3 separate regions of the Mus musculus genome follow, and regions 2 and 3 are each reported to be linked to region 1. Evidence: microRNA targets listed by miRTarBase, many of them from high-throughput screens and not tested one by one. Region 1 holds a microRNA gene; each other region holds the end of a gene's coding sequence.

Region 1 (5,182 bases):
TAGCCGTGGAAGGCGTAATAGAGCCATAAGGCAGTTTTAAAATGAGCTAATATGTATACGTCTTTTGTTGTTTTTAATGATTTATTTACTTATTTCATGTATATGAATACACCGTCGCTGTCTTCAACACATCAGAAGAGGGCATCAAATTCCTACAGATGGTTGTGAGCCACCACGTCATTGCTGGGAATTGAGCTCAGGATCCATGGAAGAACACTGAGCCATCTCCCCAGCCCCACAAATGTGTCTTATTCACAGATCTGAGATAGCTCCTGGGAGGGTACGTGTATGCAACAACCAGGAACACAAGACTACATACTACAGTTCCCTACTTCCCTTCCCATCCAGATCTGCCTCTTTCTGTCTCTCATTAGAAAACAAATATGCTTTTTCCTTCCTTCCTTCCTTTATCCCTTCCTTCCTTCCTTCCTTCCTTTTCTTCTTTTTTTCTCCTCCTTCTCCTCCTCTTCTTTTTTTGGACAGGATTTTTCTGTCTTGAGTTCTTGGCTTTCCCAGAACTCATTCTGTAGACCAGGCTGGCCTTGAATTCAGAAATCCTCTTGCCTCTGCCTTCTAAGTGCTGGGATTAAAGGGATGCACCACCACTTTCCAGGTAACAACCAGGCTTCTAAGAGATAATAATAATAAAGCCAGGCATGGTGGTGCACGCCTTTAATCCCAGCACTCGGGAGGTAGAGACAGGCGGATTTCTGAGTTCGAGGCCAGCCTGGTCTACAAAGTGAGTTCCAGGACAGCCAGGGGCTATACAGAGAAACCCTGTCTCGAAAAAACAAAAATAATAAAGGAAGTTATAATATTATTAAAATAATAAAACAAAAACTAATGAAAGACCCCTAAAGGGAGACCCTCACTCAAGTCTGGGGATAATAGTGGACCCCCAAGAACTCACGAGAGACCAAGCTTGATGCAAACCACACAAGGCGTTATTGGGGAAAGCCAGAGCTCTGGGGACGACTTGTATCCCATGCAGAGGTAGAGGAGTCGACCCCAAGGGGAAAGGGGTCCCAGTTTTTATAGGCCCTCAGGGGGGAAAGGAGAAGGAGGGAGTAGGGGATTTCCAGATCTAAACAATGTCTATTCTAAAATGATTTCTCAAGAAATGGGTATGGGAGGGGTACAAGGAAAGAGTCTGGTGCAGGTGCAGCAACTCTGGATTGGCCCCAGCTGTGGTTGCTGGGGAGATTTTCTGACTCTTTCCCAGCAACCAATATCACAAACACCTGGCAGTGGGCTGCAGCAGTGGGCACATACAGGGGTTCAAGGAGCAGCCAGAACATTGTGCACCTCTATTTTTCTAAATCAGTGAAGCTAGTTCTGCTGACAATGAAATCTATTTTGCCAATTTCAGGGCTTCTGTGATCTTTTACATTCTGTCAGGATCTTTCACTAACATATCAGAACAAAACAAAACAAAACAGAAGGAAAAGAGCCCAAGAGAAGGCACAAGAATCAGAGACCTGCTTATTCACACAGTCAGGAGTCCCAAAAATATACTAAAGTGGAATCCATAGTATATATGCAAAGAATCTGCAGGGTAAAAAAAGAACCAGCTTGCCTCCATCTTAGGCTTAAAAGTCATCTTATAACAAAGACAAACTAGGCTCATTTTCTCAAGGATTGGGCTATGTCCCACCTATAAGCTTAACTACAAATGATTCTGTCCTGCTTGTTCTAGGAATGGCAATCATAACTTTATTTCAAAAACTTGTGTATAACCATCTTATAACTCTACCTTTGTTTCAAAAGGCTCTATGACTACTGATGCTACCTTGTTCTGGCCACCTTTGCAACCGTATCTTTGTTTCAGAAGGGTATAATTTGTTATATTCTGCTCCTGTAACCCCACCAAACCCCTCCCTACTCCTGAGCTATAAAAGCCTTATCTTCCTCATATCAAACCCACCTTGGGCAGTGCACATTGATAAAAAAAAAAAAAAGCTTGCTTTAATTAGTTTGGCCACACTAATTTGGATCAGTGACCTTTTTCTTCCCATTTGTGAGATTAACAAAAAAGGAGAGGAGAAAGCCGAGAGTGGTGGCGCATGCCTTTGATCAGAAATCCACCTGCCTGTGCCTCACAAGTGTTGGGATTAAAAGTGTGTGCCACCACTGCCCGGCTATAGATTTCTTTAAGTTATTTTTTCCTTTCCTTTTTAAGTACCTCTGTGACCGTCATATGGTTGGTTTAAGGCCTTTGTCTTATGCTTCAGCTATGTTGCAATACTCAGAGCCTGGGGAGGTAGGGTTGCTGGGCTCTAGTAGAGGCATATTGTCCTGGCTGTTATTGTGTTTTTATAGATGCAGGCATCTATGTCTCTGGATTGACTTTGGAAGTTTATAATTCTAGGTGCCAATATCTGGACTTGTCTTTGTGGGATGAGTGTTTTGTTCCTTGGTTTCTATTGCCCTGCCTGGGTCTTAGGTGAGCATGGTGGCTGTGAGTTGCCTAGTAGGAAATACTTCTGGAATCCTGGTAGGTTTGGTCACTGGAGGCTCCAGGTACAATGTATTTACTTAGGAATGAGGATGGGATTAAAGGGGTCCAGTCTGAGGGAGTCCACAGGAAGGAGGAAAACAGGGTATTCCACCAGAATCTGCTTAGTCCCTTGTGAATGGGGGCAGAGAGTGAGGAGAGGCCACAGACTAAGGGAATGGTGTGGGGGACGGGGCGCCTCTGGATTTGGATGAGAGGAGAAAGAATGAAAGTATAAAGCCCTTTGTTGACCTGCTTTGATGGCCTATTGGCTTCTCCACCAGGCTTGGCTAGAGGGTTCCAAGGGAATGCCTGCTGGAGTTGTGTGTGTGTGTGTGTGTGTGTGTGTGTGTGTGAAGTGATGAGTTGGGAGTGGTGGTGAGAAAGGTTAGAGGGAAGATCTGTGTGGTCCACTGGAGGAAAGGGCAGAGAGGAAGTCAAGGCTGCAGCAGATGGTCTACTACAGAACTGGAGATGCGACTGGAGGATTGACTTGAAGGAACAAAGAGAGAAATGAAGACCTATAGTCACCCTACCTATTTCCTGACATGAGTGGCCTGTAGGTTCCCAGGGAATGCCTGCTGGAGCTTCAGGCTAAGATAAAGCAAAAAGGATTAAAGGTACGTGCCTTCTTATCTCAAAGATCCATATTAGAAGTGGATCAACCAAACAGGTATTGTTGTTAATCCCAGAAGAAGCAGAGACAGGATGATCTCTGTGAGTTCAAGACCAGCCTGGTCTACAAATCTAGTTCCAGGACAGCCAAGGATGTTATACAAAGAAACCCTGTCTTGAAAAACATGGAGAGCCGGACTGTGGTGGCGCACGCCTTTAATCCCAGCACTTAGGAGGCAGAGGCAGGCAGTCTACAAAGTGACTTTCAGGACAGCCAGGGCTATACAGAGAAACCCTGTCTTGAAAAACCAAAAAAAAAAAAAAAAAAAAAAGAAAAAAGAAAAGAAAAGAAAAGAAAAGAAAAGAAAGAAAGAAAGGAAGGAAGAAAGGAAGGAAGAAAGAAAGACATGGAGAGGTGGCTCAGTGGTTAAGAGCACCAACTGCTCTTCTAGAAGTCCTGAGTTCAATTCCCAGCATCCAGGTGGTGGCTCACAACCATGTGTAATGGGATCTGATGCCCTCTTTCGGGGTATCTGAAGACAGCAACAGTGTATTCACATACATGAAATAAATAAATAAATAAATAAATCTTTAAAAGAAAAAAAAAAAAAACAAGAACAAAGACAAAAACAACCAACACACACACACAAAGAAGTGGATCAACCTACTTCCCTCACAGAAATCGATTTTTAGATTTCATTCAACTTCAGATGTACTCAAGTTGACAAGAATAGTCATCACACTTTCCTTCAGTTCCAAAATCTCAGGTAGGTTTATTGCCCTTTTAAAATTGTGTCATTACAGGGGTGGAGAGATGACTCAATAGTCAAAGCACTGACTGCTCTTCCAAAGGACCCTGGTCTGATTCCCAGCTCTCACATGACCGCTAACAGCCACCTGTAATTCCAGCTCCAGGGGGATCCGAGCCCTCATCTGGCCTCTGTGAACACTGCAAGCACAAGGAGATCACACACATGCATCCAAAACACACATACACATAAAAATAAACCTCAAAACCTTAAAATAAAATAGCGTTATTATCATTAGTTTTATGATTTTCTACCAAGGTTTTGGAGGTTTATATTTGTCTTAGATCTCGGTCCTCGTTTAGTTTGTGATTTGTAATTCTATTCTCTCGTTTTGCAGTTGCCTCTCCACTCTGCTGACTGTTTCCTTTGCTATCCCCCAGTATTTCAGCTTTGCTACCTTCTGCCTCTTTGTTAGCGTATTTTCTGGGAGGGAGGATATTTGTCATCTCATCATTCATTCATAGGTCTTATCTATTGACTCCCTGTTTATGATGCTCAGTAAGTATTGAGTGAGAATAAATCATTCAGTGTATGGACAGTGCACAACATTGGAGTAGGTGATCTACTGTTATCCTCTATGATTTTTGGAGTTTGCATGTTTTAATAAATAACACAATTTGGGGATTGTTTGTTTGAAATGGTCCAAGGGTGAGATGGGGCCCAGCTTTTTGGCCTTGAATGTATAGGCTGGGGAGGTTCTCCTGTGCTAGTTTCCTGAAAAGAGGACTACTGAGCAACCATACCACAGAGAAATTCTGCTCCATGTGTATTTTTCTATCAATTCCTTATTTAATACTACTCTAAGATCCCAATAGTACTCAGAGTTTATACCATTGGTTAGATTTTTAACTTTAAGCCATCCTTATCATCCTTAAGAAGTAAGGCACTCTTTAAAAGCTGATTTAGTTCCTCATTTAGTAAGAAAGCTATCAATATATAAAACCTGGGGCTGGAGAGATGGCTCACAGGTAAGTACTGTTACTTGGACATAGTGGTACTTACCTTCAGCAGATTTCTGTGAGTTACAGGCCAGCTTGGTCTACAGAGAGTTCAGAATGACTAAGGAAAGTCCTGTCTTAAAAAAGAAAGTGCTATCTAATAAGAAAGAAAGAAAGAAAGAAAGAAAGAAAGAAAGAAAGAAAGAAAGAAAGAAAGAAAGAGAAAGAAAGAGGAAAGAAAGAAAGAGGAAAGAAAGAAAGAAGGAAAGAAAGAAAGAAAAAGAAAAGAAAGAAAGAAAAAGAAAAGAAAGAAAGAAAGGAAGGAA
Region 2 (5,116 bases), not on the chromosome of region 1:
GGTTTCTACTATCAAAATACAAAAAGACATCTGATGGCAACACTTAGCAGTGCAGTGAAAACTCACCTTCCTCCCCTACCTTGGGGCTGTTTGCTCCATGTGAGCTTTCCTAGGTCCTTCCCCCACCCCTAGTTAAGAACTCAAAAATCACTCCTTCACGAAGATGTATACTTCCGAGCTTGAAGGCCCTTGGGGCAGATGAGTGATGCAGGACAATGCAAGTTTCCAATTCACCTGTTCATTACATCTACAAATCAAAATCTCTTCAGTTAAAATTGAGGACCGAGCATTCATTTGCCATCATAAGAAATCATTCTCTGTGATCCTGGTAGAGAAGCCACCTGCATAGCACTGTATGGTCACGCACCTTGCAGGGACTCCAAAGCTAACAGGCTAAAGCTTAATCTGAAAATGGACACGCGCTCTGCAAAAGTGGCTTCTAGTAATTAGACTAAGAGAATAAAATAAGAGGTTTTTGTTTTGTTTTTTAAAGGAGTGAAAGACTTAACATAGCTTCCAAAGGAACAGGGATGAGTTATAAGACAGGAGAGCCTGGCTCAGCAGTTAGAAGGAAGCTGAGTTACCAGTGACTCAGCGAATCAGAGGCCCTGACTACTTCACTCTTAGTAAAACAGTTTAACAAACACAAGCATGTTTGTTTGTTTGTTTTTTATAGCAAAGGGAATGTATCTTAACACGGATCCTGTTTATCTATTGGGACTCCAAACGGTCAAACCTAAACAGCTTAGCACACTTTGTCTTAGCAAAACTGTGAACTTAAAAAAAAAACAAACACTCCACAAAAACCCAAAATAAAACCTATTAATATAATGAACTGTGGTTAAACTTGAAATTAAACTGAAAATAAAAATTAGGATTGTTTAAAATGGCCAATTAAGGGAAGTGGATATTAACATTTATCTACATCCATTTCTTGAAAAATTTAAACGCATAAAGTAAAGGTTACTGTCAAATTTCTGTTTCTGAGTTAGTGATTTCCTGACATTACACTCTGAAGGCTAGAGTTTGGAAATGCAAAGACTGACACGAGGAGCTACGACTCCTGACAACACGGGAAGAGCTTTGCTTCTAAAGCACATCCTATCTATTTGGTAGTTGGAAAAAAAAAAAAAAAACTGAAAACAAAGCTTTTCTTATATAAAATGCTTTGTTTTTTAAAAAGTAATTTATCTAGCATTCTAAAATTTAAGCCCTTTAAATATCACAAAGGTACCCTTGTTGGCCTTACAAAAGATAGCTACCTTTAAATATTCTAAACAAGAATGATTCTCTGTTTAGTTACCCTGGTGATTTCTATGACGGGATCGTAACTGGCTTTCATCTCTTCAATGTTTTCCATATGTTCTGGTGAAAAGTATACATCTAGGCATTCCTCTCTTAAATCAACTTTAAATAAACTTTAAATATTACTATATATACAATTATCTCTTGCAGTTGTATTTCCTATAACAGACCCATAAACAAAATATCCTTAAAAATGTAGAGTCTCATTGGAACAGAAAAAAGCCTTTGTATCATTTTATATTAAACACTGGTTAGGTAAGTTTATTAAAAATGTTTGGGTAGTAGGCAACTAACCATTTGTGCATTCATAGTATATTCAAATCTGTCACTAAGGTTGGCTACAAGCTTTGCCACTAGGGATAAAAATCCACAGGGAGGTGTGTCCTTCACAGGGAGGCTGCCAGGGCTGTCCTAACACACGACTCTTAGGATAGAGTAGACTCAAACACTTTCAATCAAAACAATCTAAAAAGAATTCTTCAAATCAATTCATCTCTGATTTATTCTCATTTCTTTCTTCCTTTTACTTTTTTCTAGCTCTTAACAACAAAACAAAACAAAACAAAAAACAAAAAAACCAAGACAAAACAACCCAATTTAGAACCAAGAACATTTACCATACTAAAATAGGATTCTAGTGAGTTTTAGGATTTCTTTATTACTAGGCACAGTTTTCAAAGATCATGTATGATAAAAAAATAAAAATGACTGACTTTCCTAGTTGGTTTTTCTGAAAGCTACCCACCTATGCTTGGGAGCAATCAGCCATGAGTCAGGTAAAAAACAACTGGGACTCAGGGTGGGGGTGTGACCAGTGACAGGGCACGTGCGCATCATATACAAAGTCCTGGGTGCAATTCTCAGTATCAAGAAGAAAAAAGAACAGAGATAGAAATTAAATTTCAGCCGGGCGTGGTGGCGCACGCCTTTAATCCCAGAATTTGGGAGGCAGAGGCAGGCGGATTTCTGAGTTCGAGGCCAGCCTGGTCTACAAAGTGAGTTCCAGGACAGCCAGGGCTACACAGAGAAACCCTGTCTTGGAAAAAAAAAAAAAAAAAAAAAAAAAAAAAGAACCCAAAAACAAAACAAAACCAAAAAACCTACAAAAAACCAGAAATTAAATTGCAGAATTAATAAATTTTAAAGAAACAAATTACTATAATATAAAAAGTAAGTAAGGTTTGGCATTGGGATAAAAGTCAGATCAGGTGTTTGACTAAGACTATAGTCTGATCTGGGTGTGGTGATGTGTGTCTATAATATATAATGGTAGCAAAGGTTGTTGGGAAACTGAGGCAAGAGGATGATGAGTTCTGGACCAACCTGGACTACCTATGATCCTGTCACAAAACAAAAGAGAGTGTCCAAAGTCAAACAAACAAACAAACAAACAAACAAAATGTTGTTTTTATCTTCTAACCCCATCAGGGGCTATCATAACGATAAACATTGGGGCTATTTTCTATATAAAAAATTACACAAAAGTTCATTACTCGTGGCTTCATAAATATTTTAGATCAAAGAGGCTTTAATGGCAAAAGATAAAAAAGTATATCCCAATCTAGAATATCATATAAATGTTATCGTCTGAGTAGCAAAGTTTTTAAGATTCTGGTCTTAACAATCCCTCCCTCCATGTCTGAGTCACAGATGATCACTCACAACCTCGTCGTATCTTTTACATTATTGCTTACATCTCGTGAAAGCTTTTAACAAACTTGGCAATACCTCAAAATATTTTGGAATAAGGACATTATATTGTTGTCATATGTGACCTTGTAAACAATCTTAATTGGGTTAAGAATGTAGCCTCAAAACAGAATTCTTTTATTTTGTCCAAAACAGCACAGCATCGACATCCTCAACAATACATAAACCTATATATAAAATATAGAATATCTTCACTATTTCTCCTTTATATGGCAGCACAATAGTATATGCAAATGAAAGTGCTGTTGGTGGGACACGAGGACACTTCTCTGAGCAATGCCCTAGTTAGCCAGGTGTCAGCATTCAATGACCAGGAAGAGAAAGTCTCAGGAGAGTTTCTGCAAAGCTGGGTATACGTACCTCGTTCTGCACCCTGCCATTCCACATGCAGCCTGACTCTTCTCAACCACACCTCTTAGCCTCTGGAGTGGTGCTATAAAGGTACAGGAAATACCTGCCTGATACTAATTTTTCACTATGAAAATTCAAAATGGCTTAAAAAAGAATATACTGGATTTCAGAAGTTATTTACCTTCATCTGAAAAAAACAAAAACAAAAACAAACCCACCACAAATACTTCCAAAACTACAGGGTTTATAACACCCTGCACTTAGGAGTACACATTTACTTAGGCCTTGTCAAACTGTTTAATAACTTCTCATTAGCCCTCTTCTCTCAGGAAGGTCAACCACAGCCTGAGTTCTTTTGTATCTGCTGCTGCCCACTTTTAACAATGGGAGGAAGAACTGCCATGTTCTAAGTCAGCTGCTTTTCCTTAAGTCTCAAAGTTTATGTTCTGTTTCAATGTTACCTTATTGTATACATACAGAAGCAATCTCTCAGCTATGAAAAAACAAAACAAAACATAGAACCCTCCAGTTTTAGGGTTTACAAAGGGAACCCTTCTTTAAAAATTAAATTAAATTTAAACATATGAGACCAAGCACAGGCACTTTCCAAAAAACCAAACCCCAGGCCAATCACAGAATTACTCAATAGTTATAGCAGGCAGCTCTGCCTTAGGGGGGTCATCCCTGGGCGCCTCAGCAGGAGCACTGGTCTTTGGCTGCTCATGCAGTTCCTCCTCCTTCTCTGTAAGCCCACCAAGAGAGCCCAGGGGAAAAGTGCTTTCACAATTCTGGGTTGAGGAGACCTGTGAAATCACAGGCATTTGAACAGAAGAGTTGCTTTCAAAAGTATGTTCTCCAAGATCATACTGAACAAGGGTCTCTTCTTGCTCCTGGTTTAAGTAGTCCGGTACTAAGAAATCACTAAATGAGAGGCAAAGGATAAAATACAAAATTAATTTTCAAACTATAATAAAGAGATATCATCTATAATACAAGTCTGGGGCTTTTCATTTCACTAATTATTCAATGAAGTTAATATAAATAAGCTTTCCCAAATATCAACTGAAGCCATTCAGTAGAACCAATGTGCATCCCACCTCCCTATGGGCAATAAAAAAGATTAATGATCACTTCCAGTGATTCTCTGGACACTTCAAAGGCCTTTCTGGATCTACATATAGGAGTCTGTATATAATGTGAGTGGCATTTCACTAAAGCAAGCATCATGTGACTAAGCCGAGTAAGAGGTTTATATAGACCTAGCTCTGTATTTCTTTTGTAATACCTCTTTGTAGAGGTTAGCTAAGAAGCTCAGTCTTTATGCATGCATGACCTTACATACATTTACTATAGGAAGTTGAGAGATGTAGAAATTAAGTTTTCACCTTACTATGTATGGAAAAAGTAGTACACTTTACTAAGAATTTGGAAAGAATCTCCTATCACACCTGGAGTGACCACTTAATAATTTGAATATTCAGTAGTAATGGACAAATTAAAATCTGTCTGTCTGCAAAGTAACTTCTAATGTCTTGTGTATATTTCCTAAAAAGTCTTCAAGGGTTAGAGAAGAGTAGTGTAAGATACAGGGTCCTATATGGGAAAGACACACAGGAGTGGTAAAACTGGACTATTTAATTCCTCAACAACTATGTCTAGTAAGTATTAGCTAGCTTTAATGATATAACCATACATTCAGAATCAGCACTCATTAAGTAGAATGAGCACCTGGTCTGGAGGGAAAAGTAAA
Region 3 (5,116 bases), not on the chromosome of region 1:
TTGACCCTGAAATAAAGGATTCTCTTGTTTCCCATAGGAAATCTAGTGATGGAGGGCAGAGTACTTCTGGTCTCCCCGCAGAGCCTGAAAGTGTATCTTCACCTCCCATCTTACACATGAAGACTGGCCCGGAGAACAGCAACACAGATACTTTGTGGAGGCCTATGCCAAAGTTGGCCCCATTAGGTTTAAAAGTAGCTAATCCCCCCAGTGATGCCGATGGTCAGAGTCTCAAGGTGATGCCTGCCTTGGCACCTATAGCTGCCAAAGTTGGGTCAATTGGACACAAAATGAATTTAGCAGGAATTGACCAGGAAGGCCGGGGGAGCAAGGTGATGCCTACATTGGCACCTGTTGTACCTAAATTGGGCAACTCTGGAGCTCCATCAAGTTCATCAGGGAAATGAGCTTGTTCATCCTCATACAAAAGCCAGGCTGTGAGGGGAAATGAATTTCACCTCCTTTCTCTGTAGGCGTCTGTTTGTTTGTATTATGGAACTATTATCCTTGACTTAATTATGTGTGAATATTGATGGAGAAAGGAGGTGTAGGGTGCTGGTCCTGGTGTTTGAAATTCTGATCATGTTAAAAATGTGTTACCTCACTTGTGGTGCTGGGTCCCCTCATCTTCTCTAAGAAGGTGTGATTCCCTCTTGCCCAAGGAATTCATAACAAGATTCTGGCTCCATCAACTACCTTATTATTTTCCCCTGAGAAAATGCTTGAGACTTGGAATTACTATAGACTAAAGTATAAGTCATAGTTGTTGGCTCCAAAATCTGAGAATTATGATACAGTTGTGTGGGAAAAAAAAAAAAAAAGAACTTTTAGTTACTATTTCAATAGTAGGGCATGGTAGGACTGGGCATGGTAGTGCACACTTGTAATTCCAGCACTTAGAAGACTAAAGCAGAAGGATTGCAAGTTTGTGTCTACCCTGGCCTATCAAGGGGACAGACACACACACACACATACACACTTGTGGGGGCCAGGGGAGTAGGAAGAGAGAATGTTATAGTAGGTAGGATGAATATTATGGAATACCAAAGTGAAGGGATTTTGTCATTCAGCAGACTGTTTCATATCCAGAATAGTTCTTCCCTTACCCTTTCAGTCATAATTAAAAACCTAAGCTTTCTGGTAAAGTAGGAATATACTTTTTACTTTTACTATTAACATACTTATTTTCAGAGACTAAAAAAGACATACTTCTCCCTTATTTCTTGGGGTATCACAAAGATTCATTCATAATACCAGAGATTTCTACTCATTGTTTTTTGGAAGTAGACATAGAGGCAGCCCTTCCCTTTCCCAAATCATGTCACTCAAGAAACAGCTAAAATGAAAAGCAGTTTCTCCCCTAACCAGAGACCGTAGCCAAAATAAAAATTTGTGGGGCTGGGTATTTCCCAAATGAAACCAGCCTCTAGGTGCTTGAAGGTTTTGTTCACTGTCACCTGCACAGGATGTAAAGAAAAGGCGAGTCAGAGTGAGCAATCTTTACCAGGGAAGTAAGGCAGTATTTGAGTCACAAAGTATATTTTTTATCTGCTATCATGGCATCAATGATCTGTAGAGCTTTTTCACTCATTGGCTGTCAGGGTATGAAGGACTGACAACCTGTAAAGATGAAGATATTTATATTTTTGTATAGTTGTTTTCATAGATTTCTCAAAGGATGAAGTTTTCGACCTAGAAGAGATTTGTATTGAGTATAGAAATGTTTCCTATCTAGTTTGTAAATAATCATGGTGCATTTGAGGGGTCTCTCGGGAACTCGTGAGGCAAGAATCACTGTTCTGAAAATGTATAGACTGAGATGTAGCTGCTGCATTTGCCTTTCTTAAATAATTATATTTTGGAATGTAACCCGTTCTGTCTTCAATGACAGGATTTGCTTGTGTTGTAAAAACACTTTAACACAAGTGCTTCCGGTGCCTGGGCTGTGCCTGGGTGATTGTATTTCTTTTACACTACTGCGTCTTTATCCTAAGTCCCACTCTGTATCCTCTGACCTAGGTTGTGAGACCAACTTTGGAATGAATCTAGCCAGTGAATTACTTCTATGTTTGATTTCCTTTTTAGATTAACTCTGATAATCACTAGATTGAAATGATGAAAAACTTACACTGCAAATGGCAGTGGTAGTAAATCTTTCATTGGTTTTGCGCTGCTTGCTCTAGACAGGTCATCAGCACTTAACCTTTCCTGTTTACTACAAAAGCTGATAAAGTAAAAACAGTATTCCTCAGCTTCTCCTCTGTCCCTTCTGTCCTTTACCCAACTGACTTTATCCAATGCCTTAGCCAAGGAGTGCAGCACCTGTCGCCCTTGCTAGCAGCTGTCCTCAGAGACGCTAGTTCTTTAGCCCAGGTATAGTAGTTTCCAGTGGTCTTATTGCCTGTTTCTTTCCCGAGTGTTCTTCTGGCTTCCCAGAGCCCTTTTGGGTTTTGAGAGTCAGACAAGAAACAAAACAAGGGAGTGAATAATCCTCAGGAAACAATGGACCATTGTGGCTTCCGAATACTTTTTTCTCTTTTCTTTCCTTTCCTTTCCTTTTCTTTCTTTCTTTCTTTCTTTCTTTTTTTTTTAAATTTGAAAAAGCATAGAAAAAAAACAGGTCAGGGTTTATTCTTTATTGGAAGATACTTGCCTGTGTTTATGAAAGATGTACAAAGATAGAGATGAGATTTGGTTCAGGGAAAGCTGCAGATGTCATTACAAACTCCCAAGATACATTGTTCTTAAGACAAATTTAGGAGCTATCAGGCCGAATTTGAGGAGGGTTTAGTCTTTAGAACAATCATGTAGTCTTGACAAAAATAAAAAATCTCCCTAAACTCCTACCCTTTAGCATTTCATTAGGAGAAACTGATCTATTAAAATTATATGTATGATTATGAAAAGTGAATTCAAGTGAGAACATTGGAGGAACCTGGAAAAAGCTCCACCCTGACTAAGAAGCATGATCTCAGTCGACCAATAACTCGCCTTTTATACACCTGTAAATACATGGAATGTTTTTAAGGATATAATTATGTCAGATTTAGCATTTTCTTTTATATATTAAATATATATCTTTAATTTCTGCTTTTGAAAGTGATTATTTTTTTAGAAATAACAGAAGTTTGGCAGTTGAAAGGCAAGACATGTGAACCTGAAATAAACCAATTATACTAATTAAAGCAGAATTTGGTGTTGGGAGGTTTGTGCCTGGTTGAAGAATTCTTTATGCCCTCAGACATATTTGAGAGAGGGTTCCATTGAAGAGATCTTTTCTGAAGCTTCTTGACTGGAAAGCTTTCGATCTGTCATTTGGGAAGACCTTTGGTATTCTAGTCCTTGTAGCATGTCTCAATTGGAACTTCAAGATTATGTACAATTTGATGGCAAATATTTGCTGTTCCATAGTGAGAATAGTTTCATAATACCACTGTCTTTATCTGCTGCCTTGGGGAACAACAGGACAGAAACACAATCTTATGTCTGGAGACAATAGGTGTTCTTTTTAAATTTGTGTGTATATATTGGCTGTGTGTGCCTTGTTGTGTACATGGAGCTTACAGGACAACTTTGTGGAGTTACTTCTACTTCTCTCCTACCAGGGATCCAACTCACATTGTCAAGCAATCACAGCAAACACTTTAACTTACTTGAGCCATCTTGACAGCTTCATTGGTCTTCTTAAGACAAGATGTTAAGGGGTTTCATACTTAACAGAGTCTTCTTATGGAAGTCTTTTAAACATTGAACTGTCCTGACTTAAGGGAGTTGACAGATCAAGTTTAGTTAGTTGTATAAACTTCATTAAAAGTGTTTACCTTATATACTTTTATGATAAAAGTTTTTTGTGCCCCCAGAATTGTGGATAAAATTAATAGTAGGCCTTTTTTACAGTTTTGAAAATGTTTTGAACAGAAAAGACAGTAGACATCTATACATCCATTTACTTGTTTGTTTTTTGAGATGGTCTCACTATGCAACCTATGGCCTGGGATTCTGTGGAGACCAAACTGGCCTTGAACTCACCAAGATCCACCTCCCTCTGCCTGCAGGGATTGAAGGCATATGCCCATCTTTATATTTTTTTTTATAAAATTCCATACATTTTTCCTGACTGTACCAGTTATTTCTAGTGGAATTGTGTGATCAGTGCATCTTGAAGACAAGTCTGCAAAGTAGCAATGCCACTTGTCTCTAATAGAATTAAGCCATGGACAGTGTAGGCAGCTTGTTTTCAGGAACTTAAAGGCTTATATCCTTATTTCTTTTTCTTTTTTCTTTCTTTCTTTCTTTCTTTTTTTTTTTTTTTTTTTTGGTTTTTCGAGACAGGGTTTCTCTGTATATCCCTGGCTGTCCTGGAACTCACTCTGTAGACCAGGCTGGCCTCGAACTCAGAAGTCCGCCTGCCTCTGCCTCCCGAGTGCTGGGATTAAAGGCGTGCGCCACCACGCCCGGCTTAGATCCTTATTTCATGGAGAGTCACTGGTACTTAAAGGATCAGAATAAACTGTTTGCACAGAATTGTTGCTTTTGAAGAAAGCACTTTTAAGGGTCCTTTAATAACTTAATGTATCATTGCTAATTAAAAGTCCTTCCCTCCCAAGTGTGATGACTGAAGTTGAATTCTTAGAAACTATGAATGCCAGCTGTGTAATCTCAGCACTGGAAAGGAGCAGACAGGGAGGATTCTTGGTATTCTCTGGCCAGCTAGTCTAGCCTAATGGGTTAGCTCAGGCCAACAAGAGACCTGTCCCAACAACTTGGCGACATTCATTAGAATTCGCTAGAAGTGGTCCTCTAGTCTCCATACCCACATACAAGTGCAGATGCACCTGCATGTACACAGAAATTAACTCATTTATCAATGACTTTAGTACATAGAAAATTAAAGCTCGGGTTGGTAAGATGACTTGTAAAGGTGCTTGTCAACACTGATGACCAAAGTTCAATCCCCAGAAACCATATAGTAGGGAAAAAAAAAACTTGTACCATGGTAATATGTGTACAACCCCCCCGCCGCAAAAAAGCAAAAAAACTGACCAGAACCACATAGTTAGACCTTGTCTCAAGGAAAAAAGACTTGATTCTATGCCTTTAATTCCTGCATTGGGAA

The links. The annotated mature microRNA mmu-miR-1946a reads AGCCGGGCAGUGGUGGCACACACUUUU and lies in region 1 at 2,114-2,140, opposite strand. An mRNA with a match to its seed (bases 2 to 7 or 8) in the 3' UTR can be bound and repressed. Matches are read on the target gene's strand: a 7mer-m8 pairs with bases 2 to 8, a 7mer-A1 pairs with bases 2 to 7 and ends in A, and an 8mer does both.
Region 2: the mRNA of Zbtb44 is a reported target of mmu-miR-1946a. Seed matches in the 3' UTR shown: 7mer-m8 at 2,211-2,217.
Region 3: the mRNA of Mga is a reported target of mmu-miR-1946a. Seed matches in the 3' UTR shown: 7mer-m8 at 4,453-4,459.

Annotation. Positions count from the first base shown.
Region 1 is chr16:32,265,427-32,270,608 of GRCm38, forward strand. It overlaps Mir1946a (microRNA 1946a), which reads right to left and starts at 2,157; the gene lies at 2,024-2,157.
Region 2 is chr9:31,067,916-31,073,031 of GRCm38, reverse strand. It overlaps Zbtb44 (zinc finger and BTB domain containing 44), which reads right to left. Exons shown (of 6, transcript NM_001115130.1): 6 at 1-4,287. The coding sequence ends at 4,277. Among named protein-coding and RNA genes, the nearest start is that of Gm17508, 12 kb to the left of the region's middle.
Region 3 is chr2:119,964,559-119,969,674 of GRCm38, forward strand. It overlaps Mga (MAX gene associated), which reads left to right. Exons shown (of 24, transcript NM_013720.2): 24 at 1-5,023. The coding sequence ends at 407. Among named protein-coding and RNA genes, the nearest start is that of Mapkbp1, 5.6 kb to the right of the region's middle.